Linked DNA regions of Tamandua tetradactyla. The protein of the gene in region 2 purifies or fractionates together with the protein of the main gene of each other region. This does not show direct contact. Links are inferred from orthologs where the notes say so. Each region holds a gene or a part of one and is shown on either strand. Other genes may lie near its edges.

Region 1 (10,346 bases), on a different chromosome or scaffold from region 2:
TGTCCAAAGCATTTGGTTAAAACTTATCCTAGTGATACATGAGAGCCCTAAAGTGTTTTTGAAAATGAGTTGAATATAATGGAAGTAGTGTTTGGGAAGAAGTGGTGACTGGCTGAAAATAGAAAGAAACATAGGTGGATCCAGGACATATTATATACCCCTACTAGACTGTGGGCTCTTTGAGGGTGGGGCCCCTCATTTTATCCATTTTTTTTTTAACCCTCCAGTGCCTAGCACAAAGTAAGCGCTTCATAAATGTTTGCTAAAAAAAAAAAAAAAAGTGTCGGACAGAGTGATATATGGATGAGTTCTTATGTTCCCAGTCTTTCCTCACTAGTTGCAAAGATGTTTCAGTGATCAGGGTAGATTGACCCCAACCGTATTTGGTCTGTTCCAGTAGCCTATTGTTTGCTGTTCCTCTTAGCAATTTCCAAACAAGAGTCTAATGTATCCCTGGCATCAGTCTCCTCATCCCCAACAAACTCATTCATAACTGGCAAACACCTGTATATGTACCCACACCCAACTTCCTTACTTCTCACTGATATTGAGAAATAACATGTAAAATCATACGGAACAAAAAGTCTACAATTTTTGCTCTTAAAAGCGCCTGTAGGGCACAAAGTTTCTGTTCGGGGTGATGAAAAAGTTTTGGTATAGATGGTGGTGTTGGTAGCACATCGTAAGTGTAATTAATGCCATTGAATTATATACTTAAAAGTGATTAAAGGTCAAACTTTGTATTATGTATATGTTACCACAGTACTTTTTTTTTTAAAAAGAAAATAGCGGCTTTTCTTTTTTTAAAGAAAATCAGCTTCAGTATTAAGCAGTATTGATGTTAGAAAACTTGTTGAATGAATGAAATTCCTATAATTTGCAAGGCCTTCTCCAGTGCCTGGAAGACAACGGAAGAGGAAACCGAATGGAATAGGAGAGACAGGAGACCCACCCGCCCACTCCCTACTGCCGACCTCTGGTCGCCGGGCGCCGGGACAAGAAGTTAGGGTCACCCTGAATGCCAAGGTCAGGGCTCTCCAGAGGGGGCGTGGTTGGAGCCCTTTAACCCCTCCCACGCCCAATGAGAGGGGCGGTCTGACGCACAGCGGTCTGTGCGGCGTGACGCCATCACGCTCCAGCCGGCGCTTCCCCGGCCGCGCGACAGGATAGACTCCGTTCCTAAGGTGAGCGCTTTTTGGAGGTCGCTGCTCCGAGAGGGGATTTCGGGAGCTCGTGAGTCCCGGGAGAGGCTGAGGCGTCGAGTTCCGCGTGACCTCGAGGTTGTCCGAGGAAGGGGAGATGGAGGGATCGCTCCCAGCCGTCCCCAGGCCGGGCGGGGTGGGCTCAGCGTTGACTGATCCTCAAAGCCGCATATCTAGCGGGGATGGGGGCGTTCGAGGGAGACAGGCTGTGAGCCTTCTGGCAGCGTCAACCCGGCGAGATGTGAAAAGGTGAAACACCAGTAAAGGCCAACGTTTATTCGCATTAACGACCGCTTTACCGGTTAAATCCCCAAAGCATTCCTTCGTTTAGGCTCCCTTATCCCCATTTTCCAGAGGAGAGAACTGAGGCTGAGAGATTAAACTTACTGATTTGCCAAGAGTAGAAAAATGGGAGGTTGGATGATTAAGGAAATAGTGGAATGTGTAGGAAAGTAGTGATTTCAAAAGACGAACAAAAGCTGTTTCTGAATTTGGGCAGTTCTAATGACAAAAGTCATTTGGCGAGTCATAAGCACCCTATTCTTAGTTTTGGAACTTGTTTTTCAGGTGACCAAAACCTCATAATGTCAATAGCTCGCTCTTCTGTCCATGCCAAATGGATCGTGGGGAAGGTGATTGGGACAGCAATGCAAAAAACTGCTAAAGTGAGAGTGACCAGGCTTGTTCTGGATAACTATTTATTAAAGGTGAGGAGCATCCCTGCTTTCAGCACCCACATGTTCCTAGAACCTGGGTAGAAAAACACTTCTCTACCACTAAAGATGTGTCAGCTGTTGCCAAACACTGAGTAGCCTATGTGTATGCCAGGTGAATTGGTCGTGGGCCTTACTTACATTCTGGGGAGACCTAGAGTTAATTTCAAATCAGTCCAATGCCTGCTGTGGTCATTCTATATGCAAATACTGTGAGATAGGGAATAGGAAATGTCATTCTTTCCTCCCAGGTTGCTGGAGAAGAGCATCCTTGATTAAGAGACATTTGAGCTGAATCTCAAATAGGATTTTATCCAGAGAACCAAGTCAGGGAAGTCGTTCTGGCCATGATTAGTATGTGGACTTTCATTTGGCCATGAAAGGGCCTGATCCAGCAGGGTGGACCCAGAGAGTGGACTGTTGGTAGGCAGACTGGTTGAATGAATGGCAAGGATAGTCGAAGCTGGACCATGAAGTTTTTTTGTGTGTTGTGTTTACAAGTTCAGATTTCATTCTAAAAGCAAAGGAAAGATAGGCTTGGAGACAATTAGAGATGGAGGATGGGGGTAAGGAAATCAGTAAAGAGGTTATTGCGAAAGTCTAGGATGGAAATGATGAGGATCTGAACAAAATTTGAGTCAACAGGGCTGGTGTGACAAGAGTAGATTTTAGGAAGAAGGGATAAGAGTCATTGGTTTCTTAGATGTACAAGGAAGAGGGACACACCAAAGATGGTTCAGCATTCCAGCTTGGGTGAACAAAAATGCTGTTCTTAACTTAGACTCTAAAACCCAGGAGCAAGCAGAAGAGTGACAGCTTGATTTTAGCCTTAGAAGCAGAAGACCTGAGTTTACTTAATGTGCACAAATACCTGCTATGGCAGGATGGTTGTGAGTCTGGCGATTCTAATTATCATTTATGGCTTATTTAAACACTTTGAGACAAGCATAGGATTAAGTTCTTTACATACAACGTTTAATCCTCATGATAACTTTATAGATGCAGCTATTAGAGCTCTTTTTATTGGGGTGGGGGGGGACAGATTGGGGTGATTAAGTGATTATGTCCCAATCATACAGCTTGTGATAAGAATAGCATCTTTATAGGCTGGAGAGAAGGCTCCCAATGGGAAGGGAAAGTTTAAATAATTTCGAGAGAGATGATAACTGATAGAGCAAGGGTCCTAGCAAGTTCAGTGATAGGATCAGCTCTGGAATAGTCATTGGTGTTTTCCAAAGAATAAGCAGCTAAGTATCTTCTTTTCCCAAGTCCCAGTTTGCTCTCTGTGCATTACCTTTTATTCCATATTGCATTGCCAGATCACAGATGTGTGCTACTAATTTGTTCATCTCCTTCTCTCAACAGTATTTTAATAAGCGGAAAACCTACTTTGCTCACGATGCCCTCCAGCAGTGCACTGTTGGGGATATCGTGCTTCTCAAAGCATTACCTGTTCCACGAACAAAGCACGTAAAGCATGAACTAGCTGAGATCATTTTCAAAGTGGGAAAAGTCATAGATCCAGTGACAGGAAAACCCTGTGCAGGAACCACGTACCTGGAGAGTCCAGTCACTCTGGAAACCACCCACCTAAGCAAAAATCTCAAAGAACTTAGTGTCTCTTCAACACAATAAAAGAGAATTGGAGAAAAGCTGCCAAAGGGAAAGACAAGTTTGTTTTATGGAAAAAGAAACTTTGCTAACTCTCATCTTAAACTGTGTCCAGTTGTTCTTCTGATATTTATGAAGTCAATAAAAGTAAATTTGGTAAAGGGCTTGTTATAAATTTTCATAAAGATTATGGTCAGAGTTCCAATTTCTTTTTTCAGTGAACATTAAGTTCCTGTTAAACTGTGTGCCTAGCAGTTTGCTGCATCATTTTGCAAGCTCATTGCTTTAGAGGGTGTATTATTTTTTTCATTCTAAGGAATCTCGAATTTATCTCAGTACTTTTATTTTGGGAGAAGAAAAACTATTGCTATTATAAAAAGATTAGATCACACTAAGTGTTTTGTTTTTGTCTTTTTTTTATGGTCTATATTCAGAATTCTTTTTTTTTTTTTCTGAGTTCACCAATTCCAAAGAGAAATAACCAACATGCTCGTGGTCAGACTTTGTCAGATTAAGCTGTATTAATAAAGATGTTAGCAAGTAGAAAATAAAATGTAAGAATTCTGTGTCAGTTTTTTTATGTCCTAGATCCTAGATCCTAGGCTAGATTAAATAGGCATGAGTTCTTAAAATCTGACACATTAATGAAGTTGTAGGATTTCTCCCATGCATCTGAGTTGGAAAGTATCTGCATTTTTGCTATTCTTTAATGAACTGTGATGACTTAGATTTTGACCTGAGGAAAAATTTAACTATATATTTCAGTTTTCAGGTTCCTACAAAGAGACTTAGAGCATAAATTTCAACTTCAGCAAATAGGCCTATTGTCCTCACAGTGTTTCAACAGTAACCACGGGCACCCTCAGGGCTTACAGTCTAAAGCAGGAGGTGGGCACGGGTGCCTTCACAACAAACATGGGTAGGGGAATGGTGGGGAAAATGTGTAAGTAAGCCACAGGCTCTTGGACACCTCTAGCTTGAGGCCCCATCTCCTGCTCTGGAGAATTGGGGGCAGCTTGGGTCAGCCTTCCTTTGGGGCCTATCCAGCCTTTGTAGCCCCTCTAACCAAGACCCGGTGAAGGCAAGAAGTCCCTCAGCACCAGCCTCTGGCTTCCAGGAGACAGATGCTTCCCCAGCCACTCCTCCAACCACAACTTTTTCCTGCCTGGTGGCTCCTTGTCCTTTTAATGTGTTCAAATTCTGCCTAGTCCAAAAGCCTCCACCCTCCCTTCATCCCCAAGATTCCCAGCTTCAGGGCAGCCCTCAATCCACAAATCCAGTTCCCCTCCCCACTGCCCAGATACAGAAACCTAGTGGCCAACTCAGGAGGGAACTCACCTCTTGTTCTCTCCCCAGCCCACTGCTTCCTTGAAATGCATTTTCCCTGTCACGCCCCCTCTGAGGATCTAACGTTTTCTGCCCAACTTATCTTTGCCGCAGTTTTTCATGGCTACATCGGTGACTCTTATTTTCCCACGGGATACGGTTTCCTTAAACAGTGTCTCCCGGGCACACGCTTCTTCACGTTGTGCCCTCTGACAGGGATGTCTTCCCTTCTTCCGCAGGGGAGCAGCCCTGGGAATTTTCCCGTGGTCTATCCGCCACCCAGCCACCCTCGGTCACTTGCGCTTTCTTGCTTCCTTCGCGTCTTGTGAACCTTTCCATCTCAGCACTTGACACACTCGTCAGGTCACATCCTGTCCCCATTAGAGTGGCCGCGTGAGGACAGGGACGGGGGTCTTTCGGTGGCCAGAGCCCATGGGTGCTGAAGTGAACAGGAACAATGTAGTCACAAGACTGCGAGAGTATTTTAGTAAGTTCCCATCTAAAATGCCTTTTACTAAAGTGTTGATTATGTTTTGGAAAGGTAATTTTCACATGGCACCAAATTCGAAAGATATTCGGGGAGAAACCACCCACCCACACATGTCGCTCGGCCTCCCGCTTCCGCCAGGCAACGGTGTACTCTGCTTGTGAATCCTTCCATTCATATTCAAGCCATGCTCGTGTTCCCTTTGCACACCCCCTTCTGGGCACCGAGAGCTTTCGCAAGATCTTGTTCGGCAGGCGGTGCTTTTCAGGCTTCCGACTACTTTCGACCCACCGCCCAGCGTCCCGCCTCGGGCTCGGCCGCGCGCCCTGCGCCCCCTGGCGGCCGCGCCCCGCATTGCCGCGGTCGCGCGCCCCGCCCCGCCCCAGCCTTGTCGGCCGCCCGGCCGGGGGAGGGGTCGCAGTGGCGGCGGCTTCGGCGGCGTCACGGCGGCGCCCGGGCGGTGGGAGCCGAGGCGCCGGAGCAAGATGGCGGCGCGAGTGCTACGGGCCGCCGGAGTGGCCTTGGCCGGCGGCCTCCTGCAGCGGGCCGCTCCCCGCAGCCTTCTGCCCGAGCTCCGGTGAGCAGCGCCGCCTTTTCCGGGAGCGACCAGGGAGGGGCCGTCCGTGGGGCGCAGGGCGCGGGGGTCCCTGGCGGGGGCCTCCATTTCGGCTCGGCCGCGTGCCTCACCCGACAGGGCGGTCCAGGCTGCGCGGCGGCGGCGGCGGCGGCGGCGAGGCTGCGGCTGGCGGGATCGGCGGGCCGGAGCCTCGGCAGGATCTGAGTGCCTTCCCTGCCGTCCGGGCTCAAGGTCACGACGGGGACGGACCGCGCGCAGCCCCGCCTCCGCCCGGGACGGCCCCTGCTGCCCGGCGCGGAGGCCACGTCCGCCCGCCCGCCCGCCATGGCCGGGCCTGCGGGATCTTGACCCGGAGCGCCCGGCCACGGCTGAGGCCGCAGGCCCTGGACTCGCCCTGCGGGTTCCGCCTGCAGCCTGAGAAAGCTGCTCGCTGCCCAGAGCCTCGCTGCGTGCTCCTGCAAAGCGGCCGCAGGGATGACACCTCTTAGGTTGTGGCGAGCATGAAATAAAATAATGCATCGCCCCCGGTGAGCCCTCAGTGGGGGCGGGGGGGGCGTATCTTAGGGCGTGATAGCGTTATGAACAGTCTTTTTGCCTCGGATTTTAAAGGAGATAGTGAGTGGATCAAAAAGTATTATACACTTGTCAGCACCAGGCATTGAGGTCATGTTTAAAGTTTTTTTCCCAAACCTCGTTGGAGTAATTGTTCGTTTTTCTGAATCTACCGTCTATATCCATATCCACCTCCCATTTTCCAAATTCAAAAACTAAATCCTAGAGTAAGTTACCATAGATTTGCTTTGTTTTCTCGTTTTCTTTACCTGGGTGATTTAAATGTTACTTTTTAAATTACCATCCTCTACAAAGTATAGTTGGCACTTGGGGAAAAACGAAAGAACTACCTGTGAAACTCTTAATATAGGCCAGGAAGCTTTAGATAAAATGGCAAATTTAATCCTAATCATATTCTTAAAACATAAATTGTAGAATCTACATTTTACAAATGGGGAGAGGGAACCTCAGAGAGGGGGAGAAATAGCCAGAAAATTCATTTGAATCCAAATTTCTCAGGCCTCAGACCCAGCACCCTTCCTAACATAAGGTTCGCCTTGAATTTCTAAATTCTTTAAATTTGATATTTATGGTTTCAAACTGATTAACAACAGCTTCCTTTTTTTTTTCCTGTTATTGAGCATTCATGGTGTGCCTTATCACACAGATAATACAAACCCAGGAACTTGGTATTGTCCACTTTTCAAAAGACAGCCTAGAATGTGTTCACCTAAGGTGTTCAAGGTCACAGAGCTAGTAAACTGGAGATTTGGACCTGGGTCTGATACCCCCACTTCCTGCAGAGGCCACATGCTGTTGACACTGGAGTCCTTGTGTATTTCTGACCTGTTGGTTCTCTAATTATTCTAAGAACACTCTGAGATCTCCTGGGCATTTTGCCACTCTATTCTGGCCTCTAGTCTGCCTTGACAGGCAGTATTCTCTGAGCCTCAGCCTAGACCCAGTTAATTCACTCATCCCCTCACATAGTGAGCTCACACAATGTACTTGGAGCCATATGGAACTACAACAGTGAGCAAAATGGCCACAGTCACTGTCCCAAGGGATCCATGGTAGGTGGTAAAAATCCACATAGACTTAGAAATTGAGGTACATGCTAAGAGAGAATTGGGGAATCTGCCACGTGAGATCATGGAAGGATGTTAAGCTGAGACCTGAGTCAGACAGATCTGAGTAGGAAGGAAACCCAAGAAGAGTGTAGAGGACTAGAGTTCAAGAACAAATGGAAGGCGACAGGCCAGAGGAGAGGTGGCAGGGAGCAGTGGCCAGAGGACTCCAGGTCTTGCCTGGAAGCTTGGACTTTTTCCAAGAGCTATGGAAGACATGTAAAGGTATAAAATTTAGTGTCGCTTGGTCTGATCTGTGTTTTTAAAAGATCAGCCTCTCACAGTAAGAAACCAGAAAATATTTGTTAAATGAATGAGAGAGTGACTGAATCAATGAAGAGCTGGAGTTTTCCTAGAAAAAATACAAATTATAAAAATGGACTTAAGTAGAAGAAAACAAAAAATTTAAGACCAATCCTATTTGTATATTATATGTATATATAAATGTATATGTATATTTTCTAACTTTTAAAAAAATCATAAATATTAACTAAGTTTGAATTCAGCTTTATTTTAAAAGTCATACACTGTGATCAATAATTTAATAGTACCAAAATCGCTAGTAGAATATTTAGCCAAATGTCCACTGAATTGTTATACTAGATATCAAAAGGTATTAAGTGCTTAGTCATAAAAATTTTGAACATTAAATTTTCAGATAATATGGACTCTTCAGTCAAGACATGGGTTTTTCATTTTTAAACATTTCCAGGGAACTGATAATGTTAAAATTAGACCAGGAATTATAATAACCACATAGTCTCCAAAAGCAATTCCAAATGGTATGTTTGATTTCACATATGCAGCCTTCAAAGTAACTTTCGTGAGTCAGGTATATTGTTTATCCTGTTTAATTGAGATCACTATGGCTGCCACATTCATTCACTTTGTATGTGCAAATCTGTTACATCTTCACATCAGTCATGAATTCTTCTTACTACTGTTAAAACTTGGTACACAGTCTTGCAGTCTATGGATGGTGAATTCGTTCATTTAGAGAAACAAACAACAAAAACCAATTATTCAGGCTGCCATAAATATCCCTAAAGAACATGTATGACCCATCTGGATATGACCGGCTTTATTTCTTCATTCATGTTCTAATAGACCCCTACAACTTCCTTAGAGTACTAAGCAAGTGCAAAAAATCAGTTTTTCATATCACAGCTAAAGTGACATCCCATGTGAAAAATGACTGATTTTTTTCTAACTACCTTATTGTATAGGTAAATCTTTTTCCTGCTTCTCAGACTATTTCTGAAGTACACCTTCAATCTTAAACTTACAAAATAACTCTTTTGAATCAAAAAAGTGATCAGCCTGACTTCGGAGAGGCTACAGAATCAAAGGTAATGGGCACCTGCTAAGATGTTGGTGCTGTTTACTGAGAGGTGTTTGTTTCACAGATGTCTGGGTGCCCACCAAGTGCTGGCACTGTTGGGGAACATCAGTGTGTAAGGCATACATGGTCTTTGCCATCAGGTTGATTGCTAGGAAATCACAGAACAGGGATCAGGGCAGAGCAAGGGGGCAGGGCAGGTGGTATGGAAAGACGGATCTGGGGCAGTTTTGATTCCGGTAGAATTTGAGATGGCTGCAAGCTATTCACATGGACACACCTAGTAGGCAGTTAGCTTTATGACCCAGAGCTTAGAGATGTCTAGGCTACAGGTGACACTTGGGAGCTTTCAGCACATAGGAAATGCCAAAAGTGTTGATAAGTAGTGATGGGTACATGGGTTTTGTTATTTTGTTCTCTCTCCTGTTTTTGTTCAAAACTTTTCATCATAAGATTTTTTTTTTTAAGCCAGAGGAATGGATGCAGTTGCTTGAGGAGAGAAGGCAGAAAGAGAAGGGACTGAGAAAGGAGTCCTGGGAGGAGCCAAGAGTGACAAGCTGGATGGAGGAAGAGGAGCTAGCAGAGAAGTCTGGGGAAGAGCAGCGAGATGGGTCATTGTTAGGGGATGGTGCCCAAGGAGAAGATATTTCAAGGAGCCAGATGCTGCTGTGAAGTCAAGGAAGGTGACAGAAGGAAACTGGATTTGCCTTCATGGGTGCTGTGGGTGGCATTGCAATAGCAGCCTGAAGGGAGGCAGGAGGACTTCTGGAGACTCGGCCTGACTGTGCAATGGCCAGCAAATCTCCCTTAGCTTGCTCAGTGCAGGCCCAGAGTTTCGTACAGGTGCTCAAAATACTTTATGTGTGCAGAATTTAACTCCTCTTCCTCTTACAAAGCCTCCTCCTAGGTTCTCTGTCCCCAGCAACAAAACAGCTTCCATTTAGTGGCCCAGGCCAGACACCCAGAGGTGTCTGAACCTTGACTGTCTCCTGCTCCTTTTCCCTTCCTTTTCTCCCTACCAAGGAAAGCTATAAATGACATTTTGGAGATAACTGGGGGCATTGATATGGAATGGATGTTGTATGTTATGGAGTTTGTATCTTTCTTAAGTGTGGTCATGGTATTGTGGTTTTGTCTTTCTTAAACGATGCATGTCAGAGTGTTGAGGGGTGAACTACTGTGATGCATGCAGTCTGCTTTCAGAATAAAGCAGATCTGTATAAAGAAAAATTCAAAATGTGCTAAAATGTTAATACTTTTTGAATCTAGATGAAGGGGTCTTCATTATTCTACTCTTTCTTTGTGTTAGAAGTTGTTCAATGTGGAAAGTTGGAACAGCTCTCTGGCAGTGGTGTAGAAGACATTTATTTGGGTCAGGAGGGGGATGTTGGTGGGGAGGGTGATTGGGTGGC
Region 2 (9,665 bases):
AATATGAAGCACACGAATATACGTGTTCTGGGTGTCCCAGAAGGAGAAGAGAAGGGAAAAGGAGGAGAAAAACTAATGGAGGAAATTATCACTGAAAATTTCCCAACTCATATGAAAGACTTAAAATTACAGATCCAAGAAGTGCAGCGTACCCCAAAGAGAATAGATCCAAATAGACATACTCCAAGACATTTAATAATCAGAATGTCAGAGGTCAAAGAGAAAGAGAGGATCTTGAAAGCAGCAAGAGAAAAGCAATCCATCACATACAAGGGAAGCCCAGTAAGACTGTGTGCAGATCTCTCAGCAGAAACCATGGAGGCAGAAGACAGTGGGATAATATATTTAAATTATTAAAAGAGAAAACTGCCAACCAAGAATTCTATATCCAGCAAAATTGTCCTTCAAAAATGAGGGAGAAATTAAAACATTTTCAGACAAAAAAATCACTGAATTTGTGACCAAGAGACCAGTTCTGCAAGAAATACTAAAGGGAACACTAGAGACAGATACGAAGACAGAAGAGCGAGGTGTGGAGAAGAGTGTAGAAAGGAAGACTATGAGTAAAGGTAAAAAGAAGGAAAATTAGATAGGACATATAAAATCCAGAAGGCAAAATAGTAGAAGAAAGTACTACCCATGCAGTAATAACACTGAATGTTAATGGATTAAACCCTCCAATCAAAAGACATAGTCTGGCAGAAAGGATTAAAAACAGGACCCATCTATATGCCGTCTCTACTCAAAGGACATGAGGCCAAGGACACAAATAGACATTTACACACCAATGTTTATAGCAGGATTATTAACAATTACCAAGAGATGGAAACAGCCAAAATGTCCATCAACAGACAGTTGGCTAAACAAACTGTGACATTTACATAAGATGGAATATTATGCAGAAGTGGAATTGTTGGTTTGCAGAGGCATTTTACATTTTATTTAAAATCTGCCTGAGAGATTTCAAACAGAGTCAAGAGGTTATCCTGGAGGTTATTCTTACGCATTATATAGATATTCCCTTTTCAGTTTATGGTGTATTTGAGTGGCTGGAGCAAAGTACCTGAAACTGTAGAGCTGAGTTCCAGTAGCCATGTTTCTTGAAGATGCTGTATAATAATAAGGCTTTTACAATGTGACTGTATGATTGTGAAAACCTTGTGTCTGATGCTCCTTTTATCCAGGGTATGGACAGGGTATGGCATATATGAGTTTTCTCTTTTTTCTTTCTCTTGCTGGGGAGATGCAAATGTTCAAAAACAAATTACACCACTAAGTGGCTTGAAATGACAATAATAAATGCTCGTGCTTCATGGTTTCTGAGCTTCAGGAATTCAGGAGAGATTTAGCTGGGTGCTTCTGAAACAGTGCCTCTCATGATGAAGCTCCAGGGAGATGCTGGCCAGAGCTGCCATCACCTGAAGACTTTGCTGATGTTGGAAGATCTGATTCCAGGCAGATGGCTCAGCTGGAAAGCTGGTTTTGGCTGGAGACCTGTTTCACGGGAACCTCTCCTCAGGGCTGCTTGGGTGTCCTCACGAAATGGCTGCTCACTTCCACAGAATGAGCAATGCAACAGAGAACAAGAGGGAAGCTGCAATGCCTGGTTATCATCTGGCCTTGAAAATGACATGCCATTACTTTGTCCTCATTCTATCATTTGGAAGTATTCATGGGGAGTGAAAGTGAGTCTCACCTTTCGAAAGGAGGTGTTTCGGTTTGCTAAAGCTGCCAGAATGCAATATACCAGAAGCATATTGGCCTTTTTTTTTTTTTTTTGCATGGGCAGACACTGAAAATGTATTGGCTTTTATAGTGGAGATTTATTGAGTTACAAGTTACAGTTCTAAGGCCATGAAAATGTCCAAATTTCAGCACCAAGAGGATACTTTCACTGAAGAAAGGCTGATTGCATCTGGGTTTTCTCTTGTCACATGGGAAAGCACAAGGTGACATCTGCCAGCCCTTTTCTCCCTGCTTTTACTGCTTTCAGCTCCAGGTTCTGGTGAACTACTCTCTGAGATTCTGTCTGTCTCCAAGCATCTGTGTCTTTCTACTTTCTGTGTCCACAGAGTTTTCTCTCATAAAGAGCTTCAGGAAAGGATTAAGACCCACTTTGAATGGGTAGGTTCACATCTCCATGGAAACAATCTAATCAAGAGGTCCCACCCACACAATAGGTCTGCCCCCACAAGATTGGGTTAAAAGAATATAGCTTTTCTGGGTGCTTCCAAACCAGCACAGGAGGTGAGGTAAAGAATTTACAGATGTATTTTAAAACCACTACACTGTCCGAATTGGCTGTTCCAATCAACATTCCCATCAGCAACACATGTTGTGCTGGTTTGAAAGAATGTATGCCTCCTAGAAAAGCCATGTTTTAATCAAAATCCCATTTCATAAAAGTAGAATAATCCCTGTTCAATACCATATGTTTGAAACTGTGATTGGATCATCTCCCTGGATGATGTGATTTAGTTGAGTGGTTGTTAAACTGGATTAGGTGACCACATGTCTCCACCCATTTGGATGGGTCTTGATTGGTTTACTGGAGTCCTATAAAAGAGGAAACATTTTGGAGAAAGAGATTCGGAGAGAGCAGAGAACGACATACCCACAAGAAGCAGAGTTCACCAGCCAGCAACCTTTGGAGATGAACAAGGAAAATGCCTCCTGGGGAGCTTTGCGAAACAGGAAGCCAGGAGAAGAAGCTAGCAGATGATGCCGTGTTCCCCATGTGCCTTTCCAGATGAGAGAGAAACTCTGACTGTGTTCACCATGTGCCTTCTCACTTGAGAGAGAAACCCTGAACTTCATCAGCTTTCTTGAACCGAGGTATCTTTCCCTGGATGCCTTAAATTATACATCTATAGACTTGTTTTAATTGGGACATTTTCTCAGCCTTAGAACTGTAAACTAGCAACTTATTAAATTCTGCTTTTTAAAAGCCATTCTGTTTCTATATATTGCATTCCGGCAGCTAGCAAACTAGAACACATGTATATTCCCCATACTCACCAAATCGTGATTTCATCCCACTTTACATTTCACCATGTTGATGTGTCAAAAAGCGGCAACTTATTTGCATTTCCTGATTAGTAATGAGACTGAACTCTACTTTGTTTACAACCAGGGTACTTCCTTCTCTGGGAATGCTCAGTAAATATCCTTTGCCATTTTTCTGGCTGGTTGTCTTTCTAATTACTATTGATTTTTAGAGGTCCTGGATACTAATCTTTTTTCTGTTGTATACATCGCAGATTATAGTCACTGATTCAGTAATTTGCATTTCTTTTACTGTCCCAGTAGGTGATGATTCTTCACAGTATTTATGAAGTATGAAGTTATTCTTCCACTTTCATGTATTAACTTTTCATGTCCTTTCCCATTTAACTATTGGAATCTTTATATTCTGTTACTGTTTTCTATGAATTTTTTAGATATTAAGGCTGCCATTTGTTATCATTTAGTTGCAAAAAAATGTCTTCGCCTTCTTTTTAAGTTGACTGCCATCAAATTGCTTTGCAGGCAGGTCTGCTGCTCTTTTCCTTTGTGATATCTTCCACTGGGTTGAGGCTTAGAAAGTCTTCCGTCATTTATAACCATCCTTTAGCCAGTCTCCCTGCTTCCCATTTCTCTCTGCTCCAATGCTCTCACTTTGTGTTTACCGAGCACCAATTGAGTACCAGACCCTGTTCTGGGTGCTGGGATACAGCTGTGGAGGAGCAGATGAAGTTCTTTCAGAGGAGTTCCTAGGAAGTGCACACATCCACGGGAGGATATCAGAAAATCTGCACACCACAGCTACAGAGGCCTCCTCCTATCCTGCCACTTTCCTTCTCTAGAACTTTCCAGTGGTGAACCACTGACCTGACCTGGTATATTTTGAGATGGTTCTTCCAGCTCAGAGATGTGTCCCCTTTTCCCCAGCCCCTTCCCTTGCTCCTCTGGCTGCCTACTTCTCACCTGTTTCCACCCTCTTCATCCACCAGACCCCTTCTCCCACCTGTGAAGGTACTCCCTTCCCCTCTCCCAGAATGGGCTTCCATCTGTCCCTCTCATCTTCCCAGCCACACCTCCATCCTTGCAGGCCAGCTCTGCCATCGTTGCAGATCCAGGGGTCATGCTGCTTCTCTCTTCAGGGTCTCTCTTGATACGTGGTCCTCAGCCCTTATCCCCAGTCACCTCTGTGGGTGCCTTTTTTCTGGGTGCTCCTGATGTGTCCATGCTTCTGTCCTCAGCCACTTCTCCTGACCCCATACTTTCCCCCTCAGTGGGGTCCTCAGATGGCATTGGCAGGCCCCTCAAACTTCTTGGGGCCAAGAGGGCCTCATCTCTATTCCCAGTCAGCTCCTGCTCTGCCTTCCCTGTCCCCCACCATTCCTTTCGGGCTCTCCACTTACCTATCATTTGTCCATATCCTGGAACTTGCCCCTTTCCCAGGTTTCCAGCAGCACCAACCTCTGTTCTCACTTCCTGCCTCTCAGCCTCCTAGTCCCTGCTCTGCAGAGCAGCTTGTGCAGCCCAGGCCACTATGAAATGCAAATCAGCTTCTCTGCTGCCCTCGGGGTCAAGTCAAGCCTCCAGGGGGAACCTGTCTGGTCTCCAGTACTCCCTTCAGGCTCAGAAAACCCTGGGGCCCTCCCAGTCACTCACACGGCTGGTTCTTGCCTCCATGCCTCATTCACACTGTCCCCTTTCCTGGAATGCTTTTCCTGCTCTCCAGAAGTCTCCGTCTGTTGTACAGCTCAGGGGTCACCTCCTCCAGGAAGCCTTCCCAGGAACGCACTCATTAGGAATCTCTGCTCCCTGTTGGGTTCTCTGGTACTCTCTGGGACATCATTCCTCTTTCATTTATTGTCTTCCCCTCCCCCTTTCTTTTTAACCATTAGCACTCCCTGTCCACACCTCACCCCACCCCCTCTATAGGTCACCCCCACCCCATCTATCTTGAGACCCTGCACTGTGACATCTGCACATGGCCATCAGATGTGGTGTTGGAGGACCCGGACCCTCTTGGATGCGGTGTGGAGAAAAACAAGCTCCAAGAGTCCCCTCGGGACGACTGAGACAAGGCCCGAGATTTTGGAAACTGGACTTAGTCCAGAGTCCAGGTCAAAGGAAAATAAAACAACTTGTTCACACAGGTTTCTTCCACCTGACTTCCCAGGGCCTGGCCCAGACTTAGGCGTCTCCTTTCTCCAAATCCACCTAGAGGTTCGGCTACTGGTGGAGGAAGGAATGAATGAGGCAGGGAAAGAAGGAATGAATGAATGAGTGAGCGGGAGGGAGGGTGGGCGTGAAGAGGGTGGGGGGTGGGGGATGAGAGAGGGAGGGAGGGTGGGAGTGATGGATGAGTGAGGGGGGCAGGAGCGGGGGAGGAGGACGCGGATTTACGCTGAGGGACCCTTGCCAGGCGGGGGTCGGTGGTCCTCAATCCTCCGCGCGCTCCCCCAGGCGCCCGGCGCTGTGCGGGTGGGGCCTCCTCCGCGGAGCAGCTGCGGGCTCCAGCCCCTGTCTCCGGCCTTCTCTTCGCCTCTGCGCCTGCGCGCGGCCCACGTGACGCACCCTCCCCGCGCCCCGCCCCCGCCCCGCGAGTCGGCCTCGGCCTGCGGCGGCTCCCCAGGTGAGCTGCGAGGCGCAGGGCGGTGTCGGCGGCGGGCTGGGGAGCGCCGGCCCGGGAACACTGGCGGGGGCGGGCGGGGAGGGCCGCGGCGAGCGGTGTGGGCGCACAGGGGCGCGGGGCGGGCGCGGTCTGAGGCGCGGGGGCGGCGGCCTGAGGCGAGCGCGCGGCCTGACGTGGCGGGGGCGCGGCGGGGGCGCGGCGGCGGGGGCTGGCGGGGGGCGGGGGCCCCTGGGGCGGCCTCTTCAGCCGGGTAGGCCAGTGGCCCGCGGCGGGCCTCAGCGTGACCTTCCCCGCGGCGCCCCGGGCCTGCAACAGGCGGCTGCGGCGGGGCTTCGGGGCGCGGGGCGGGGCCTGACGCCACCTAGGGCCTCAGTTTCCCCGGCCGCGCGCTCGCGCTCTGGCCACCGTCTGAGGGGTTCAGTGTGGGGGTCCTGAGGGGACGCGGAGACCGCGCCGTCAGGGGCCAGGTCCTGGGGCGCGAGGCGGGGTCCCGCTTTCGGGGAGATTCCCCCCCCCCCCAGCCTCCCTTCCTGTCCTCTCCTCGCGTACCCCTGGCCCATCGCTGTAACTCTTCCTGCAGGCTGCCTACATCCGGGGTTCGTCTTGGGGCTCCTCGGAGGATCACCTTAGGACCCAGTAAATGGTTGTGCAGTTGAAATTCTTTCTGCCAGGCATACCTTCATTATAATTATTTTTCTGTCCAGTCTGTACTTGATGGGGGTCTAAGGCTTACTCTTTGATTCTCTGAAACTTTGGAAGGCATCGAGTGGGAATCTGGGATCTGGCTGGAGGGATCTGGGATCTGGCTAGAGGGATCTGGGGAAGAGCCTCAGGGTAGTCCTTTGTAAAATACGTCGGGAGGGGAGGGTGCCACAGCTTCAGCTTGGAAGAGCAGTCTTTATTCCAGAAAACAGGTGTGAGAAGGGAATCATAAAGGGTGTGCTGCATTTGGCTTAATTTTCTGTTTTTTTAGAATGCTGTCAATTGTGGAAATATGAATTTATCTATATATGTATAACTACATTTACTATATATTAAACTATATAGTAAAAACTCTGAAATGCGTTTTTGCATTTCAGTCAGAGCAAAGACTATAAAGAAACACTATTGGTGAGTTAGGCAGTTTCTCATGCTTCTCAGGTTCTCGTGCTTTGCTGCTTGGAGAATAAGTTGGCATAACCTGTATGCGGGGCAGTTTGACAATATCCTTTAAAATAAAAAATATTCGGTGTACAGGTGGTTCACTGGTAGAATACTCGCCTGCCATGTGGGAGACATGGGTTCAGTTCTTAGGCTGTGCACCCCAAAAATAAGAAATAAATTAAAAATATACTTTAAAGTAAAAATGACTCAGTAGTTCTGTGGCTCAGTAATTTCCCTCAGATAACTGCCACATGTATGTTGTGGCATGCATAGTTGAGTTGCGGGGCCAAACTGGTTGCAATAACAAACTGCAGGAAACCCAGATGCCCCTCCACAGAGGATTGTTCAAATAAAAATGGCTTTCCATATAATGGACTGTGCAGGAATAGGGTATATTTTCCTGTGCATCCCCTTCCTTCTGGAAAGTGGAATGATAGTTGCGTGTGGGAGAAGATTAGTTAGGATGTAGGTGAAAGAAAAACTTAAGTTTCATGGTATACTTTTCTACTGTACCTTTTGAACTAGAATCACGTGAATGTATTAACACACTCAAAAATAAGTGAGATTTTATTAAATATTTCAAGCTGACAGAAAAATACAGAGAATGATACACCACCTGTCCCATTCAAATCCTAATGCTTTGTCTTGCCTTTTCTTTTTTAAGAAATAAAACCTTTGGTCCTTCCTGGAGGTAACCATGACCTTGAATCTTATTTATCATTCCAATGTTTTTGTTCTGTTTTATACCATCATAACATCCATCTGTAACCAATATAGGGAGAGCATTGTTTTACATGTTTTCGAACTTTTTGTAGGCACAATTGTGCAATTTGCTGTGCCCTCTCTGTTTCTCTCTGCATGACTTTGAGGTTTTTCTGTGTTGACTGCTGTGGTTGGAGTTCTCCTTGGCTCACTGAAACTATCTTCTGGTATTCTGTTGAATCTCCAAGGCAGATGTTTCTGGGGTGGCTTGTGTTTGCTTTACGAAGAGGGTTCTCATATGCTGTCTTGAACATGTTGCGCTCTGTCGTGTGCCTTCTGAGCAGGGAATGCTTTCATTTTTCTTTACACACCCCTGAACACCTAGCTTAGTTCCTCAAGTTGTGCTTGTTAAATGGGGGCTGGGCCTACTCAAGGAAACAGCCTCCCAGTTTTGTGGACTTGTTTTTGCAGTAGGCATTGAGGGGTAGCTGCCTTCCACCTCTTCCTTTCCAAAGAATGGGGGGCTGCTGTGCTCCAGGTGGCGTGGGGCCCCCGCCTGGGGACTGGGTGTTTGTGATTGCAGCCAGTCTTCTCTACTGAAGAGGAAGCCAAGGCTTGGGGTTTGGAGCTAAGTTCCCAGAGTCATGTTGTCAGCAAGTGGTGCAGCTGGCCCTGGGCTGAGCAAGTGCATGAGATAAAACGCCAGCCGTCCGGGAGCTGGAATCTCCTGGGTAGGTGAGCCTGCTGTGATTGATGGAGTGTGGCCCTCGTGTTCTTTGTCCTGGGGAGAGAAGTGATTGAACTAGACCTTGACCAGCTCTGGGTTGTAGAGACAGAAAAACTGAGGCAGGCAGGTGAAGGCGGGCAGAGGGTGATGGGTGTCCATTTGGGTCTAAAAGCTAGCAACAGGATGTTGACGGAAGTACAGCTTGAAGGAGAGTTGAGCCAAATTTGGGGAGCCCCAAGTGGTACTAGGAGGAGGCCATGCTTGAGAAGTCAGGAATCAGAGGAGGGACGTCGTGGGACGGCCGTGTGGCCTGAGCGGGGAAACCGGGAAAGGATCAGACAGCAGGATAGCGAGACAAGTTTGGATGTCATTGCAGGGGTTGAACGAAGGTGCTGGCTGGGGGTGGAATGTGGGAGTGACTGTCTGAGACAAGGGACTAGAGAAGAATCGTAACTAGAGGCTCTGGTCTCAAGAGACGGGATAATTGAGACTGTGGGGCTTCTGACGTAGAAGGTGGTGTTTGTACCAGTAACAAAACCAGAACAGTCGGAGGGCTTCTGGCTGGATCAGGTGTGGAGCTGGAGGAGGTGTGTTTGAGGTGAGGGTACGCTCTTGGAACCGGGTGGGCTGGAGTATGGTGTGTTGAGTGAAGGGAAGGGTCAGAGAGAAGGGTGCATTGCCATGGGGCAGTTTCAAGGCAAGGGAGAGTCCCAGGTGAAGAAGTGGGCAGTGGCTGTACCTCGGCCCCTGCCATCTCTGCAGCCTTGGTGCAAGAGCCTGCCCAGGGTGGTGAGGACGGAGAGGGACATGGGTGGAGGCCCCACGCTGAGAGGCAGGAAGGCAGTGAAAGAGCGCACATTGGGCTGTTTTTTGTTTATTTAAACACAGCAACATACAAACACAAACATTCTTCCCATATGATCATTCCATTCTTGGTATATAATCAGTAACTCCCAATATTATGACATAGTTGTATGTTCATCACCGTGATCATTTCTTAGAACATTTGTATCAATTCATAAAAAGAAATGAAAAGAAAAAAGAAAAAAACTCATATATACCACACACCATACCCCTCCCTCTCGTTGATTGCTAGTATTTCCATCTACCCAATATATTTTAGCCTTTGTTTCCTCTATTTTTTTCTATACCCCTTATCACTCCCTTTCATTGATCACTAGCATTTCAATCTACTAAATTTATTTTAACATTTGTTCCCCTTATTATTTATTTATTTTTAATCCATATCCCACTAGGCTGTTTGATGGGAAGCAGGAGAGGGGCCGGAGTGGCACTGATGAGTGTTCAGAGCAAACAGGCCTTGGAGTAGGGAGGCAGGGGGGAGTGAGAGCAAGGCTCCTGGGCTTGGGGGGTGAGGAGGGAGGCCTCCTCTTTTCACATTTACATTAGAATCGTTTTTCAATTTTTCTTGTAAAGAATAGTGGGGAATTGGAGAAGAATTCCACA
Region 3 (9,947 bases), on a different chromosome or scaffold from region 2:
TATGGCTACAGGAAATAAAATTTTCCTTCAGGACACTCATAGAAACATTTACATCTGTCAGATGGTGTGTAAGCTTCTCGTTTGAAGCCTTAAGCCCATCCCTTTCACTCGTTAATATATACAGTGTATCTAACAACAAGCAGACAACAACTCTATACCTCCTATTTCCATAAAACTATGGAAAGGAGTAAAAAACATTATCATCCAGAGCCTGGATTCGTACAAGTGAAGCATTAGAAGAATTGAATGGTGATATTTTGACTATCTCTGTTGCAAACTCACCCCGTGGATTGGCAGTATCATTCTGATTACTGAAATCAGAGTCCTTAGTGCCTTTGAATCCAATCAGAGTAGAAAACCAATTGTAAAAACCCATTTTTAAGATTCTGTTTCTTAAGAACCACTCCTGGTACCAAGCTGTTATTAGGTAGGGTTCTCTAGAGAAACAGAATCAGCAGGAAATATCTGTAGATATAAAATTCATAAAAGTATCTCACATAACCATGGCAACGCAGAGTCCAAAATCTGTAGGGCAGGCTGTGAAGCTGATGACTCCAATGGAGGGTCTGGACGAACTCCTCAGGAGAGGCTCACTGGCCGAAGCAGGAAGAGAGCCTGTCTCTTGTGAATCCTTCTTAAAAGGCTTCTAGTGATTCGATTAAGCATCACTCACTGCAGAAGACACTCCCCTTGACTGATTACAAATAGAATCAGCTGTGGATGCAGCTGACGTGCTCATGATTTAATTCTATAAAATGTCCTCATAGCAACAGACAGGTCAGCACTTGCCTAACCAGACAAATGGGTATCACCATCTGGCCAAGTTGACACATGAACTTGACTATGACACTGTGTGATTGTAAAAACCTTGCATCTGATGCTCCTTTTATCCAGACTATGGACAGATGATTAAAAAAAAAAGAAAAAATAAACAAATAATGGGGAGATAAAGGGTAAAAATTGGGTAGATCGAAATACTGTGCGTCAGTGAGTGAGAGGAGTAAGGCCTATGGATGTATGAGTTTTTACTTCTTTTTCTGGAGTAACACAAATGTTCTAAAAATGATCATGGTGATGAATACAGAACTATGTAATGATATTGTGAGCCATTTATTATAATAATATGGTTGGATTCTATGTGTGTGGATATCTCTCAATAAACATATATAAAAAAAGATTATCAGAAAGGCTTGTTAACTTCTTTTTTTTTGAACCTAATGCTTTCATTCATTTCTTCCTGCTGCTCCTAGTTTTTGGTTTGTTTATTTTTTAATTTTTCCTGTCTGACCTAGCACTTACATGTATTTTTTTTATTAATTAAAAAAATTAACTAACACAACATTTAGAAATCATTCCATTCTACATATGCAATCAGTAATTCTTAATATCATCACATAGATGTATGATCAAGAATAAACTTGGAATATGTCATTGGTAACAGAGACCATCAGGAGTTAGAAATAGGGTAAGATAATGGGTAATTGGAGCTGAAGGGATACAGACTGTGCAACAGGACTGGATACAAAAACTCAAAAATGGACAGCACAATACTACCTAATTGTAATGTAATTATGTTAAAACACTGAATGAAGCTGCATCTGAACTATAGCTTGTTGACTTCTTGAGTCTGCCTGTTTTGTTTTTGAGTGCTGGTAATCCTTGGGTTTTTTTGGTGTTCTATTTCTGGCTCCTGTTGTACCGCACTGCCTTTTTACCATGCTGATATTTACAATGATGATGCAAAACAGTGGTGGATAAAAGTGTGTCTTAGAACAAATCAAGGGAATAATATAAACTCTATTAGTAAACACTTTATTTTTCACTATCTTGAACTTGTAAAAGAATTGAGTTTAACTTAATACTGTCCCTGCTGAAGTGCTAAAATTATGAAACGTGTTAAATCTTTAAACTTGAGGACAAGTCCTTTTAATATTTTATGTGATGAAAAAAGAAGTACATGTAAAATGCTCCTGCCCCATACTGAAATACAGTGGTTGCTTTAGGGATAAGCATTTGTGCTAATGAGTTGCCAGCTGACAAGTTGAACACTTTTCTATGGAATACTATTTTCTTAGTTAAAAGAAAGACTGACAGAGGAGTGAAATGAATCTACCACTTCACAGAAAACAACTGACAGAATTTATGGCCAATAAGAAACAAGTTTCCAAGTGAAAATTAGAATTTCAGTAAATTTGCATCTTGCTTCAATTAGACAGAAAGCTTCCTAATAACTGAAAATTTTTCTGAAGAGCTGAGGGGTGATATTACTGAATGTGATTGTTTGCTACTGCATAACCAAAGAAGTGAACATTTGGAAAAGCAGCAAAAGGTAGCATAACACAGTGAAACAACATATAAAAAATGACTAATGCATAATGTTACAAAATCATATGGGTATGGCCCCCACCATAGGATCAACAGTGCCATACTGACCAAAAGGGGGAAGCAAAGTGTAAGAAATAAGGTATCATTGGCTGAGAGAGTTCAAATAGAGTTGAGAGGCTACTCTGGAGGTCACTTTTTTTTTGTATGCTGTATGGCAGTGGTCATATTTTATTCTTTTTCCATGTGATTATCCTGTTATTGCAGCACCATTTGTTGAATTTTTTAAAACTTTTTAAATGATATAACATATACACAAAGTAAAGAAGGAAAAAAACAATAGTTTTCAAAGCACTCTTCAACAAGTAGTTATAGGACAGATCCCAGAGTTTGTCATGGGTTACCATACGATCCTCTTAGATTTTTCCTTCTAGGTGCGCCAGACATTAGGGGCTAGAAGGAATATATCTATATATCATCCCATTTTTTCTTTCTTGTGAAAAATAACATATATACAAAAAAAGCAATAAATTTCAAAGCACAGCGCAACAATTAGTTGTAGAACAGATTTCAGAGTTTGGTATAGGTTACAACTCCATAATTTCAGGTTTTTACTCCTAGCTACTCTAAGATACAGGAGACTAAAAGAAATATCAATATAATGATTCAGCAATCATATTCATTTGTTAAATGCTACCTTCTTTGTTTAACTCCACCACCATGTTTGATCTTTCTCCTACTCTTCAGGGGTATTTGGGCTATGCCCATTCTACCTTTTTCATGTTTGAAGGGCTGTCAATAATAAAGGGTAGGGAGATGATGTTCTGGGAAGGCTAGCCCCTCTAGTTTCAGGACTTTATCTGGTCCAGGGTCCCATCTGGAGGTTGTAGGTTTCTGGAAAGTTACCCTAGTGCATGGAGCCTTTGTAGACTCTTGTATATTGCCTTAGGTGTTCTTTAGGATTGGTTGGAATGGTTTTGGTTGGGGTTTGGCAAGTTATGATAGGCAGCAAAGTCTAACTGAAGTTAGGGTAAGAGCAACCTCCAGAGTAGCCTCCTGACTCTATTTGAACTCTCTCAGCCACTGATACCTAATTTGTTATAGTTCTTTTCCCCCTTTTGGCCAGGATGGCATTGTCAATCCCATTTTGCTAGGGCCAGACTCATCCCTGGGAGTCACCTCCCATGCCGCCAGGGAGTCTCTCACCTTTGGATGTCATGTCCCATGTAGGGGGGAGGGCAATGATTTCACTTTCAGAGTTGGGCTTAGAGAGAGTGAGGTCACATCGGAGCAATAAAAGATGTCAGAGGTCACTCTTATGCAAGCTTCAGTTAGACATTGCTACCATCGTAACTTGCCAAACCCCAACCAAAACCATTCTTGCCAATCCTAAAGAATACCTAGGGCATTAAATAGATTCTAGAAAGTTTCCATGTGCTAGGGTAACTTTCGAAAACCTACAACCTCCAGATGGGTCCCTGGACCAGATAAATCCTGAAATGCCCAGGGGCCAGCCCTTCCAGCGCATCAACTAGTTCCATCCTCCTATCCTATATTGTCGATAGCCCCTTCCAACATGAAAAAGTTAGCCCAAATATCCCTAAAGAGTGAGAGAAAGATCAAAGGTGATGGTGGAGTTATAGATAGAAGGTGATGGTGGATTTAACAAATGAATATGAGTGCTGTAACAGTATACTGATATTTCTTTTAGTCTCCATTACCTTTGAGCAGCTAGAAATAAAAACCTAAAATTGCGGAATTGTAACCCATACTAACCTCTGAAATCTGTTCTACAATTAATTGTTGTGATGTACTTTGAAATTTATTGCTTTTTTGGTACGTATGTTATTTTTCACAAAAAAAAAGAAAAAAGAGAAGGAAGAATATAATAGAGAAGATAGGATTTAACGAATATGACTGCTGAATCAACATATTGATATTCCTTTTGGTCCCCAGCGACTTGGAGTAGCTAGAAGAAAAAATGAAAAGTCATGGAAGCGTTACCCATTCCAAACTTCAAAATTTGTTGTACACTACTTGTTAAAATGTACTGGGAAATTTATTACTTTTTTGTATGTATGTTATCTTTCACAATAAAAAAGTAAATAAAATCATATGTATAACAGATTCATTCAAAGTGCAGGCTAGACCAATAGATACTAATGCTACAGAGTAGGAAATGTTTATTGATGTGGTTTTAGATTCCATATTACAACTAATGTTTAAGAAAGTACCGCCTATCGAAAAAAGTATTCACATTTTTTTGAAAAGAGTTAAAACCTTCCTTTCATTTTCACCTACCTACATGCGTGACTGTGTTTTCTTCATATACTTCACCCGAACAAAATACTGGACCTAGTGAATGCAAAGCAGATGTGGAATCCTGTTGTTTTTCTATTAAGCCAAGCATCAAAGAGATTTGCAAAAATGTGAAACTATGCTCCTCTTCTCAATAAATCTTCATTGCTCTGAGAAACCATATTTTTTTCATAAAATATTTTCACACATATGTTTATTAGTATTATTTAAAAATGAATACATAAATATATATATATTTACATTCTCAGTTTTAATTTCTAATATGTAAATATCCATAGGTATAATTCACATAAACAAAACCTGTTTGGAGCACTTGACAAATTTTAAAATTTCAAATAAGTTCCAAGACAATAATTTCTGAACCACTGCTGTAGGACAATGTAAGGGTTAGACTTTGTTCTTTACAATTTCTTAGAGCCCCATACACTGTGAATATATACAACTTATGGATTTTACTTCATTATAGATGTAAATCATTTCTATTTACTAGAAAAAAAAAACCCCATGGTTTTATTATCACGTAGGACAACAAACACCTTTTCATCTAACCTAATAACTTTACTCTAACATTGTTTTCTCAAAATGTATACAAATACCCAGTTCCTGAAAATGCTTTTGAAAAAGAAATGCTCTTTGAGCCAGCTTTACCATTTTACTTGCTTCTTCATTATTTTTTTGAACGAAATCTTGATTTGTTCATTTAATATTTGCATGTGTCAGGCTTTTAACTTTTTGAAAAGCATACTTTGACAGATACTTATGCACCCATGACATACATACGACATAGATGACATAATCTCACAGTGGTGGCATAGTGGATTCTCTAATTCTGCATCTAAATTAATAGATGCTCTTTTAAATTAATATACAATTACATTCACTTCACATTTCTTTTCTTCTCATTTTATTTATATGCCACCTTGAATTTCTCCTTATGCAATGTTTTGAATTTCAGTTTCAACTCTGTCATTAACAAGAAATGTACACAACCCACATACACGCATTTTACCCTAACTGACCCACTAACAAAAGCAGTTCCAGCTTTAACCACGGGGTTCGGGATATGTAAGCGGGAATTCCCCCTTATCTTTATCAAGCCTCCTACAGACCATGCGACAAAAACTGATGGATCACGTGACACCTGTGCCCCCATGCCTGTGCCTTCAGCACTATTCCGCCCATTTCAAACATGGTCACTAGGCGTCAGCAATAGCTGGCTTTCTTGTATTTAGCAGGCGCTTCCATTCGTGTATCGGGTTCTTTCAGCAATGGTCGGCTGGCCAGCAATCCAGGAAGGGGAAGTAAAGACCTTGCCCACGGTTCGCGGCCAAAACGCAGCTCCGGGTTTGCCCGGGGAAGGGGAGCCGCGTCCGGACCAGAAATTCCGCGGCCGCGCTGTCCGGAGGAGCAGTTAGCTGCAGCACGCCGGAAGTGGCTTGTTGGGTCTGGTCGCTGTCGGTCGTACCCAGGCAGTGTTTGAACTGTCCTCCTGGCTGGTCCGACGACATGGAGCCTGGGTCTACGGAGTTATACGACCAGGCCCTACTGGGTATCTTGCAGCACGTGGGCAACGTCCAGGACTTTCTGCGCGTCCTCTTTGGTTTCCTCTACCGCAAGACCGACTTCTACCGCCTGCTGCGCCACCCGTCCGACCGCATGGGTTTTCCGCCGGGGGCGGCACAGGCCTTGGTGCTGCAGGTAACCGCGGAGCTGGCAGCCCCGGGCTTCTGTCCGTCTGCTCTTCCGCCCCGTGGCCTACCACTGAGGTCGGCAAGGCCTTGGCAGCCTCAGCCTGGCGGGGAACCTGCGCCCTGAACTTCCCGGCCAGTCCTGGCTGTCGTTCTACCCCCTCCTCTTTCATGTTGTGGGACAATTTACTTCTGCCAACTACAGTTTCCTCTTTTGGTGATTCCCGAGTCCTACCCGACAAGGTGGTAGTGATGACCAGATGAGATAATAGTCATGCAAGCTCTTTGTAATCAGAAGTGCTGCTCGGTATCAGGTTATTTCGTGGAGCCGTGATAGGATCTTAAGCAACCAGGTTTTATACATGATATACTTCGGTGTCAGATGTAGTAAACAGGTTTTTTTAGGGCCCAGTGCGACAGGAACTGGTAGTGATGGAATGAAAACAATGCAGATATTAGGTCAGACTGGAGGCACTTGAAATTTGCTTCAACAGAGATCCGCGCGACCCAGATTGGAGGTGGAAGGGATGGCTGTGAAACTGTTGATAATTGGGAGTGATCACCTTGTTTGAAATGTGAATTCCTAGGTCAGAAACAGTCATTAACAGTGATCACTAAGTTTGCATTTGTGTATGTATATACGTTTCTTGAATGTTTGAGGAGCTATTAATATTCAGTGAAGTTGATTGTATATTTTTGTATGTAGTAATAAGCAAGTATTTACTGAATGTATTTTATATTCTCAGCTGCCACGGGCACTGGAGATGTACTGGTAATATGACGTATTGTTAATGATCTTTTCTTCCTGTGACATTTAAATTGTTATGTTTAAGAAGAAAAAGCACAGAAAGTAGTTGAGAACTATTCAAGAGCCATTTATGTGATAGAACTTACGGCGCTGCTATCGGAAGGAAAGAAATATAAACTACGATTGTAAATCAAGAAAAGTTTTGTAGAGGTGGGACTTTTGATACTATTGAAGGTATACACTAAGCTTGAATCTGTTTATAGGAACGGGAGAATATAGTAATGATGAGACCTCCCACAGTTATCTAGAGCTTTGCAGTTTATAAAGTGCTTTTGGATGTTATCTCTTGAAGTCTTACTGCAAGATCGCTGAAGCAGGTCGGTCAGGTATTATTTTGCTCAATGTCTGGATGAAGAAACAAAAGCTTTGAAGGGGTGAGTATTTACCAAAGATTATATGGTCAGTTGAGTGTCGGGACTCAAATGGTGTTCAGTTTCAGAACTTAAGGCTCTTTCTTATCTTTGTCAGTGGCATAAGTGTGAGCCAAGTGATCAAGGAACACTATAGAGATAATTTTTAGCAGAACCATAAAGCAGTTTAATTCTTTCACATGAGTCTTGGTATTTGAACTTCACAATGTCCCTGTAAAAATATAAGGTTGAATTTTATGTAACAGATGAGGGTTCCAATTGACTGAGTTCAAGTTATTTGACACACAGCTAGTTCATCATAGAGCTGAAACTCAAAACTTCAGTTTTCTGATTCCAAGTCTTTCTACTCTATCATTTAATCATTCTACAGTACAGAAAGAGCGTTTTTGTCTGGGATGATTATAGCTTGTAGAAGAGAAGTGGAGGAGAAAGGAACATTTCCTGAGTACCTATTCTGTACTACTTATAGCTGATGTTTTACATTCTGGGAAGTTAGGTTATTTAATCCTTACCACAATCTGAAAGGTTGATGTTTGCCCTTATTTTACAGGTGAACTGACAGGTAATTTATTTGTTAACCATTTATAGAATGTGTGTTTTGTTCTCAACGCTCTTTTAGGCTAAGACTTGTAATTGGTTCCTTTGTGGAACAATTGAAGTTCAGAGATGGGAGAAGCAAGAGGTGACATATGAGTAGTAGGGAATGAGAAGTAAGTGAGCAGGGCAGTAAGTGTTGCATAAACCAAGGAACAGAATTTTCAGATGATGGTTAAGAGGGCGTAATGATTTCTGGTAGTGGTTCCTAACTTGGAAGTGTCTGAGGAACTAAAAGCACACATTGCCTGGACATTGTGAAGCCTGGGGATGTGTTCTTTTATTTTACAGAAGCCCATTTGATAGGATACTTGTGAAGGTGATTTCAACATTGGTCATGGCATTTGTTGTAGGGTAGGGCATTAAAATACTGAATTAGATTAAATAACTTGGTACTAGTACGGAATTGTCTCTCAGAGGTGGGAACTGGGAAAATCTTGGGAAAGTTACTTCACTTTTGTTGATTGAGAAGGTTGATTGGAAGACCACAGATGTCTCTTCTAGAAAGTTGTACGATTCTGTGATTTTAAATGAATACTGAGAGTATAGTGATTGGGAGGTCAGAAGTGATGTGGGGCAGCATGTTTGGAGATCACAGATGGGCTGGTTGTAGAAGGTTGGAAGTGCTAGGTAAGCAAAGGTGGAGAGCATGGTGACATCCTGTATTAGAATCTCCAGACATGCGATGAAGAGAGTCCTTGCTGTTGCTTTGTTTTGGTGGCATTAAGATGAGCATTTGGCATGTTGATGGGCTGTGGTCTGGTCAATGGATCCAAAGCCTCATACACGTGGATGCTCTAGAGGGCAGAGTTGGGTTCAGGTTATCCCAAAAAATAGAAATGAATTTGGTGCTGTTTCTAGTTTTTAACTTGAGGGCTTTTATTTGTTTTCCCTTTCTGTAACTACTCTCACTGTTTGGTGCTTCCTTGTAATTAAAGAATTCTTTTCTCTCGCTTGCAAGACTGTCAGCAAACTTAACTTCTCTGTCTTATTTTTCTCATCTTTAAAGCATTGATACTGTTTTCCTCATAGGATTGTCACAGAATGTGAAATCCTTGGCATAGTACTATCCTTGGCATAGTACAGTATGTTAGCACTTTCTTTTTTCTTTTTTCCTTCCTGGTGCATAAAACGCCTTAATATCTGACTGCATTCTAGCCCTTCAAAATCTGATTTCTGCCCACTTTTCAAGACTGATCTCTGTCTTTCCAACCTTGTAAGAGGAGACCGTTGATTCAGCTACTGTAGGGTTTTTTACTGTTTCTGGATGGCACTACTTTTGGTACTTGTTGCTCATCTGTTTATCCTAAAGTGACATTTCCTCCTATAGTTTTTTTTTTTTAAATTAAAAAAAAATTTTTTTTACATAGTCAGCCACCGGGAATCCAACCCGGGTCCTCTGGCATCACAGACAAGCATTCCTGCCTGCTGAGCCACTGTGGCCTGCCCTCCTCCTATAGTTTCTTATGGAAGCTCTACTTCATTCGAAGTTTAGTTCAGATCCCCTTCCTTCCAAGAAAGAGGACTTTCACCAGATATACCCATTCCCATCCTTATAGACTGATAAGACATTACATCTGTTTATCACAGCCTTTCTTTACCAGAATTGTTTGTGAAGGTTTACTTTGCTAGACTTCAGGTGTCATGTGTACCCCTTGAATAGTGCATACGAAATGTCATGTTATACATGTACTTTTTTGGTGAAGATGTCCCCATACTTTTCATGGGTGTGACTGTTTCCCAGGAAAGGGTAAGGGCTGCTTGTGCACATACCACATTCACACCACAATTTTGAGTCGTAGGAATAGGAGCTCTCATTTGATTTGTTGTACTCCTTCCACATTG

The links.
Region 1: the proteins of KLHL22 (region 2) and NIPSNAP2 purify together in Homo sapiens (co-immunoprecipitation; 3 studies listed by BioGRID and IntAct, counting the BioPlex papers as one, with this or other methods). This does not show direct contact. The link is inferred for Tamandua tetradactyla from reciprocal best matches to the Homo sapiens genes KLHL22 and NIPSNAP2.
Region 3: the proteins of KLHL22 (region 2) and NUDCD3 purify together in Homo sapiens (co-immunoprecipitation; 3 studies listed by BioGRID and IntAct, counting the BioPlex papers as one, with this or other methods). This does not show direct contact. The link is inferred for Tamandua tetradactyla from reciprocal best matches to the Homo sapiens genes KLHL22 and NUDCD3.

Annotation. Positions count from the first base shown.
Region 1 is NC_135349.1:18,620,232-18,630,577, reverse strand, and holds the start of NIPSNAP2 (protein NipSnap homolog 2), read left to right. Parts: upstream 1-5,772; 5' UTR 5,773-5,824; coding exon 5,825-5,916; intron 5,917-6,232; exon of another isoform or gene 6,233-6,429; coding exon of another isoform or gene 6,430-6,443; intron 6,444-10,346. Other genes in the region: MRPS17 (small ribosomal subunit protein uS17m), read left to right, coding at 1,787-1,909, 3,281-3,550. UniProt on the Homo sapiens protein: Protein involved in mitophagy by facilitating recruitment of the autophagy machinery required for clearance of damaged mitochondria.
Region 2 is NC_135331.1:27,297,844-27,307,508, forward strand, and holds the start of KLHL22 (kelch-like protein 22), read left to right. Parts: upstream 1-5,582; 5' UTR 5,583-5,626; intron 5,627-9,635; exon of another isoform or gene 9,636-9,665. UniProt on the Homo sapiens protein: Substrate-specific adapter of a BCR (BTB-CUL3-RBX1) E3 ubiquitin ligase complex required for chromosome alignment and localization of PLK1 at kinetochores.
Region 3 is NC_135327.1:65,912,467-65,922,413, reverse strand, and holds the start of NUDCD3 (nudC domain-containing protein 3), read left to right. Parts: upstream 1-5,824; 5' UTR 5,825-6,147; coding exon 6,148-6,339; intron 6,340-9,947.